2 linked regions of the Oryza sativa Japonica Group genome follow. The protein of the gene in region 2 binds, or shares a complex with, the protein of the main gene of each other region. Links are inferred from orthologs where the notes say so. Each region holds a gene or a part of one and is shown on either strand. Other genes may lie near its edges.

The links.
Region 1: chlorophyll(ide) b reductase NOL, chloroplastic (region 2) and red chlorophyll catabolite reductase 1, chloroplastic share a complex: the UniProt entries of both Arabidopsis thaliana proteins name them as parts of the SGR1-CCE-LHCII complex. The link is inferred for Oryza sativa Japonica Group from reciprocal best matches to the Arabidopsis thaliana genes NOL and ACD2.

The regions. Positions count from the first base shown.
Region 1 is NC_089044.1:13,537,253-13,540,710, reverse strand, and holds red chlorophyll catabolite reductase 1, chloroplastic, read left to right. Parts: upstream 1-937; 5' UTR 938-1,037; coding exon 1,038-1,409; intron 1,410-2,146; coding exon 2,147-2,764; 3' UTR 2,765-2,909; downstream 2,910-3,458. UniProt on the Arabidopsis thaliana protein: Catalyzes the key reaction of chlorophyll catabolism, porphyrin macrocycle cleavage of pheophorbide a (pheide a) to a primary fluorescent catabolite (pFCC).
Region 2 is NC_089037.1:26,389,538-26,393,290, reverse strand, and holds the start of chlorophyll(ide) b reductase NOL, chloroplastic, read left to right. Parts: upstream 1-1,495; 5' UTR 1,496-1,617; coding exon 1,618-1,867; intron 1,868-2,460; coding exon 2,461-2,529; intron 2,530-2,963; coding exon 2,964-3,025; intron 3,026-3,160; coding exon 3,161-3,247; intron 3,248-3,528; coding exon 3,529-3,596; intron 3,597-3,694; coding exon 3,695-3,743; intron 3,744-3,753. UniProt on the Arabidopsis thaliana protein: Required for chlorophyll b degradation. Chlorophyll b, chlorophyllide b, pheophorbide b and pheophytin b can be used as substrates. Belongs to the chlorophyll catabolic enzymes (CCEs).

The DNA.
Region 1 (3,458 bases), on a different chromosome or scaffold from region 2:
TGAGAAGATTCAAGATGTTTCGAATTCTCCTTCAGTAATATGGCCCCCACAATAATTAGAGGGGGGAAAAAGGAAAATGAAGAGCTAGTGGACTGAGGAAGAAAGCTAGTGTGCAGCATCTGGCCTTTTGTGAGCTTTGGGCCTTGGCCCATGGAGCGATAAGCAGCAACAGCAGTGAGTGATCAGCAGTAGCAGATGGCCTCAAGTGTATTAAGGTTTAGGTGGTGTGTTTAATCTCCTGAAGATAAATATAAAGATGAAGATTAAGTGTTTCACGCAAAACGATGTAGTAATAATATATGATTAATTAAGTTTTAATTATTACAAACTTGAAAAATGGATTAATATGATATTTTAGAACAACTTTCATATAAAAAGTTTTCCCACGAAACGTATCGTTTAGCAGTTTGAAAAACGTGTCACGAGTATCCAAAAGTTTATCCAACTTTTATTGGAGAAAAGAATAGGGCATAAGTATCACCTCGGTTCCCAAGCTTATGCGCTACATGGTGAGCTGCCCAGTCATTAGCATGGTACTTCCTCCGTTTTATATTATAAGATTTTCTAACATTACCCACATTCATATATATGTTAATAAATCTAGATATATATGTGTCTAGATTCATTAACATTTATATGAATATAGGGAATGCTAGAAAGTCTTATAACCTGAAACGGAGGAAGTATAAAAGAAAAAAACCAACTCATGTGGTGTTTGCGAAGGAGGGACTAAACTAGTCATTTTTGTGATTCCCAAATACCACCTCAATTGGCATTATCTCACATTTCAGTAATGCAGTGTCCGTAAAAAAAACAAGGCATTTGCAAATTGCAATAGATAATGTCTTGGAATCTGATGGATTTGTAACAGCAGCTTTCAGATCTCTCTTTCAATCATCTCCTATGTATATACTGCACTAGTTACAAAAGTAAAAGAGGGATAGTTCTACACGTTCACGGAATCCTTCTCACTCCCTCTCGCTCACATTCATCTCTCGCTCCGTTCGTCCACGCGTCGAACACCTCGCCGTGATCCAATGCTCCAACTCCGCTCGCCGCCGCCGGCGACCAGCTCGCCGTCCTCCGCCGTCTCCTTCCCGACCCTCGCTCCTCGCCTCCTCCCCCTCCGCCGCCGCCGCCGCGGCGCGGGTTCCCAGCTCGGGGGCAAAACGTCGAGCGCCGTGCGCGCGTCGTCGGCGGCGGCGCCGGGCGCGACGGAGCCGGAGGTGATGGTGGAGGTGGCGCACCGGGAGGTGGCGCGGGCGCTCGCGTCCCTGGCGGAGGCGCGGCTGGGCGCGCGGCTGCTCCCCTCCGCCGTGCCGCCCGACGTCGCCGAGTTCCGCAGCGGCGGCGGCGCCGGGAACGCCGTGGGCTCGCTCGACGTGCGCCGCGGCGCGCCGGGATCGACGGTAATGGCACCCCTCCTCTCACTTTTGCTCGTCAGATCGTACAGATTTACCTGTTCTGTCGATTGGAGAACATCAGAATCAGTCATATGAATTAGTGAAATGGTAGTGGTAAACTGGTAATGTCTAGAGCACCATCAGAATCAGTCATATGAATTAAGTAGTGAATCATATGAATTAACTAATTAAGTAGTGAAATGGTAGTGGTAAACTGGTAAAAACAGGCTGGCACAAACAGAGCAGAATAGATCAATGGCATGTCAAAAGACTTGGACAATTTACTGAAACTGTTTTACACTGAAAAATTGCTGCCGAACTATTTGTGATTTGCCCTATCAAGGTGAACTTGCAAACTTTTAGAAGCCAAGATCCATAATCCAACTCTTCGGAGCAAATTATGACTTTTCATTATATTGGCAATGCTCAAATTAGTTCATTTGCTTCCAATATCGAAATGGAAACAATTGGTCTGTTCTAGAGTTTGTACCTCATTCGTGATTCTTCCTATCACTCACAGATTTTGTTTCCTCTCCAAAAACAAAAAAACAAAATCACTCCAACTGAACGGACACAATTGGAGTGGCCAAAATGATCAACAGCATTCAAATTATGAAACTAATCTCACCACTTGAACACCTGAATTATGCTCCCTAGTGCTCAGTAGCTTAGCGTGGTAGAATTTCTTGAGTTCTGCAAGGAATGACAAATGGAGTTAAATTATTAATTTTTCTTGTCTACAGATTGATTTCATGCTCCAGTCCTCACTACACTGCAAAGTCCCAAATGGCGCAATCGACATTACATCTCTTCTCATCTTTCTGAACGCCTCGACAGATGCTCCGCATTTCCTCATGGAATTTATACAAGGTAGCCCAACTTCGATCGTGGTGCTTCTGGACCTTCTCCCACGGAAAGACCTTGCGCTCCATCCCGAATACATAGAGAGATACTATGAGAATACTCAGGTGGACAAACAGCGTGAGAAGGTCGAAGAATTGCCGCAGGCCCGTCCATACCGATCGCGATCCCTCTTCGTGCGCAGCACCTTCTCACTGACAGCAATACTGATGAGCATCGACTGTGGGCAAGGAGGAGAGGGTACCTTGGAAGAGATAGTGCGTGGTCAACTAGCAACAGCTGCTAGGGCACTTCTTCAAATTTGGCTTGATAGTTGTGCTGATCATACTTCAGAGATGGAAGAAGGCGAGAGAGAAAACATGATAAAGAGGGACCAAATTGTAAGGTCCAAGTCAATCGAGGTCGACCTGACTTCAAATTTGCCGAGGATGTTTGGTCCCGATGTCGCAGACCGAGTCATAGCTGAAATCCAGAAGGCCTTTGGGGTACAAGAGGCCTAGCTTTAGAACTGTGACCAGGAATTCATCTGTACATCATTCGAAAGTAATGTTAGTAGTCTTTTGTCCCTTTTGCTTGAACAATCAGATATATTGTGTGATTATAAATTTATAATTGCAAATACCATCAGATGTCATAATTTTGTCTATACAATTATACAAACCAATGTAGTGTTGGTTTTCATGCCGATTTTTTACTCTAGCCGTTTCAACCCAAATCTCGGCCTCCTCTAGAGATACATCGATGCCCTCATTAAAAGAAAGTGCCCAAAAAGATAATATAATTTATAAGTACCAGTAAACTGATTTCACGGGTGGTTTCCTCAATTTCTTAAAGAGAAAGGACAGTCAATTATTTTATTTTACAAATGTATTACTAGTTAATGGATAACTTTACATACCGTGTTTACATATTCTCATCCCATTAAAAATTTGCGATGAATCTAACTGCCTAATTTCATAGATCAACGCACCAGTTTATGACAAAATTGAAATGCTATCAATCAGAAATTCACTAACTACCAGCCATACTAATCCTGGCTCCCTACAGCTACTCGCAGCTCTAGAAGCACACATGGCACAAAACATAAACTCCAAGTTTTTTGGAGAGTTGTTTTTGCCTTCTCTTTTCGGTTGAAATACACAATTATTGTATCAAGAATGGAGAGTTCGAACGGCAAAGCCAAAAGGAAAAAAT
Region 2 (3,753 bases):
ATGTTTTAATTACTTTGAGTGTCCTTAGTGTAATTTGTTGGTGTGAATTTCTCAATCCTGTGTGATGTGGTGCTCATGCGTATGAAGTGATTGTCAGGTTGTGTATGCAAAGAGTTTACTGAGGCTGAGGACGAACTTATGCAGATCAAGACAGAATATTATGCTCTGCAAATGCAGTGCACAAGGATACTACAATTAATTTGGTTGGGAGTATATGCGATGTACAGCCAGCATGTGCAAACCAGCAAGCAACGCTCACCGCGAGAGTGGCATGGTGACAGCGACGAACTGATCGAGACTTAATAGTATCACTAGTGCAGAAGCAACGGCAACATATCGATCGTAGTACTACTAATTACTACCAGGACACGTGTAATCACTACCCCAGATGCAACAAGAGAAGGGTGGCGTTTCTTCCCAGTAGCCACATTTTCCCTTTGTCTAACTTATGAATCAAGTATGCACTAACACTACAGTCCATAAATCCCAAGTGTTCCTTACCTGTAAAACTGAAACACCCTGCTCAAAGCCAAGCAACTAACTGAGTTTCTAAGCAGCATAAAAACCGAAGCAAGCAATTAACCCATAATTAATTAATTATTAATTATTATAAATTTGATAAGTTGGTCCATTTGAATCCTTTAGAAAACTTCTATATTTTTTTTTAAAAAAACACTTTTTAACAGTTTGAGAAATGTTCTAACGAAAAACGAGAAAAGTTGAAGTTTAGAGTTAGAGTCTAGAACAAAGCATAATCATCTTACTTTCATCCCCTTCTCATCATGTGTTTCTCATAGGTGTGTAACTATATAGGATCCAATACATTCTTCCCAATTTATAATTATATATGGTTTAGCCCATGTTTTATTCTCAATTCACTCATCCAGTCAATTCCTAATTATATGGTTTAGTCCGTTGCATGTTACTATAAGAAAGGAAAAGAAACTATTATAAAAGGAACTATTGTAAAGCTTCGACTCCAGGTATTCCTAGTCTCCTGGTAGCTGTGGAAGGAACGAAACTCCAGGGTTTTCGACTCTGCGCTCGCTTCGGTCGCAGTGGTTCTGGAGTCCATCCGCTCGGAGGGCCAGCTGTGGTCTTTAGTCGGCGTTGCTTTTTTTGGGGATTTATTGGGAGTGTAGCGTGGCTTTGCCCCCTCCCGCTGTTTGGAATTACGTTTTTAACCGTCGTAGTAGTTCCTAGCTTCAAGTCCCCCCTTTAGGCATAAGCCAATCTGGCTGATTGCTTTGTGTAACAAAAACTCTTTTCCTACTAATATATTGACGTGCAATTCTTTTGCGCGTTCGAAAAAAAAAACTATTGTAAAGCACATGCATATAATAGTTAAAAAAACCTTGCAAAATAGTACTAGTACATACTACTAGTAGTTTAAAAGAGAGAGAGAGAGAAAGGATGATTGCTCACACTGACTTGTGGGCCACCTCCACCTCTTAACATCCGTACTTAACTCGCAGGCCCCCTCCCTTCTAAAATCCTCGCTCGTTAATCGTTATCCAGACTCCGCGACGGCGAGCCGGCAAGGCGAGCACCGCAGTTGACGACGCCTCTCCACTCCGCTCCCCTCCCCTCCCCTCCCCTCGTCTCGCTACCGCCGCAATGGCGGCCACCGCCGCCTACCTCCCGCTCCGTGCCCAGGCGCAGGTGGGCCTGGCTCCGCTCCGGCCGTCGGGCTCGGCCGCTGCTGGGGCGCGGTTGCCCGGCCGGACGGCGCGGCGCCGGCTTGCGGCGAGAGGCGGGCCGGAGGCTGCCGGTATCCGCGCGGAGGCTGTCCCTGGTGGTGGAGGGGTCGCGCGGAGGGCGGCCATGGTGCCCCCGTATAATGTTCTAATCACCGGTTCCACGAAAGGTGTTGTTGAGTTCTCCCCCCCTCGTCGTCGTGTTGCTTCGCATGCTTGATCTTGCTTACAAGAAAGAAGTAGGATGTCTGTGGATGCTTTTTGTTGGGATGCAATTTAGTAGGAGCATATAGGAACTGGTGGTGATCGATATTTCTGAAATTCTGAATGCTTGTGTTGGAAATAATTCAGATGGTCAGGGTGTGGTGTGGTGGCGATGTTGTTTTTTCGTGCCTTATGTAGCCGAGAAGAGAGCAACACCAATTTGGAAGTAGGGGTGGAAGTGGGTAGTGCCGCTACCAGCATAAGAACCTGCTTAATTAGTTCATTTCCTACTTTCTAGTACACAATTTAGAAGACAAAATGAACTAGAACATCAGTGCATTCGGCATTGACCTTTTAATCAAACAATGCAAATCAGCTTGAAACTGTGTGGAGCAATTGCTTTGATACTGTATTGTGGTAAAAAAATATTTAAATCCTGACATATTAGATCTTTTGGTCAATGGTGGTAGAGGTATATCTCCTAAACGCTTCCTTTGTGGAAGCTTGTTTCAAAAACCTTTGTAGTACAACTCAATGACCCTTGTTTGCTCTTAAACAGGTATAGGATATGCTCTGGCAAAGGAATTTTTGAAGGCTGGCGATAATGTTGTAATCTGCTCAAGATCAGGTACAGAAATGATTTTGTGCTTTCAATAGGTAGCGCTAGTTTTAGTAATTATTTTTGAGTGATGACATAAATAAAATTGGATAAATTATCGAGCCTAAGATGCATTGCAAATTGATTTGCATGGTCAAGTCTCGTTTACCTGTTTCTTTATTTTCCTCTCTTCTCATTTGGATGATCCATTGACCTAACACTAAAATATGCACTATCCAGCTTTTGTCATTTGATGCTCATTATCGCTCATTAGGTGCTCTATATAGGGGTCATCTGCTTGATATGACTGACCTGTTAAATTGATCTTTCATGAAATTTTAAAATGAATAAACAAATGGATTGCTAGGATTTTCTTGAGCCCACTTTTAGTGAGAGAATGAAAAAAAAAAAAGCAAACAAGTTACAGTTTAGCCTTTCCTTGACATGCAGTCTATCCTCTACAGCTGAAAGGGTAGAATCTGCGGTGACTGACTTGAAAAAGGAATTTGGAGAGCAACATGTGTGGGTACCTACTTCCTACTGCTGAGCTACTTGATACTTTTACTGCCATTGGAGTCTCCACTTATAATTATGTTTGTTGAAAATTTTACAGTGCAATAATACTTATGCAACTGAACTGCTTCTATTTGTATTATTGCAGGGAATTGTCTGTGATGTTAGGGAAGGAAAGGATGTAAAGGCACTAGTTGATTTTGCACGTGACAAGATGAAGTATATTGATATTTGGGTACATAATCACCCCATCATCATCAAATATCTGCACATGAACTTACTCATGTTTATATTCTTTTCATATGTACAAATATGAAAATCACTGGCTATAAAGTTATGCTGATTCTCACTACATACTCATGAGTGTTCGAAATTTCTCAGCTACCCTTTTTGAATATTTAAACTTCAGTAATTTAATTGAAGCACTCAGTTATGTAGTGTTGAATCTTTTTGGGTAAAATCTAGAACCATAAGAAGGCAGGATTTTCTCCTTATCTTTGTGTTCCTTTGGCACAGATCAACAATGCTGGATCAAATGCATATAGTTACAAACCGTTGGTCGAGACCTCCGACGAGGCTCTCATGTAATTTTCATGCTGTCTTTTTATTTATGGCTTGACCAAATACATTCAATTGTGCTTTCAAGCTATATTCAAACTCCACTCTTTCTTTGATTTAATAGGGAAGTGATCACAACTAACACTCTTGGATTAATGATATGTTGTCGTGAGGTATTTCTTT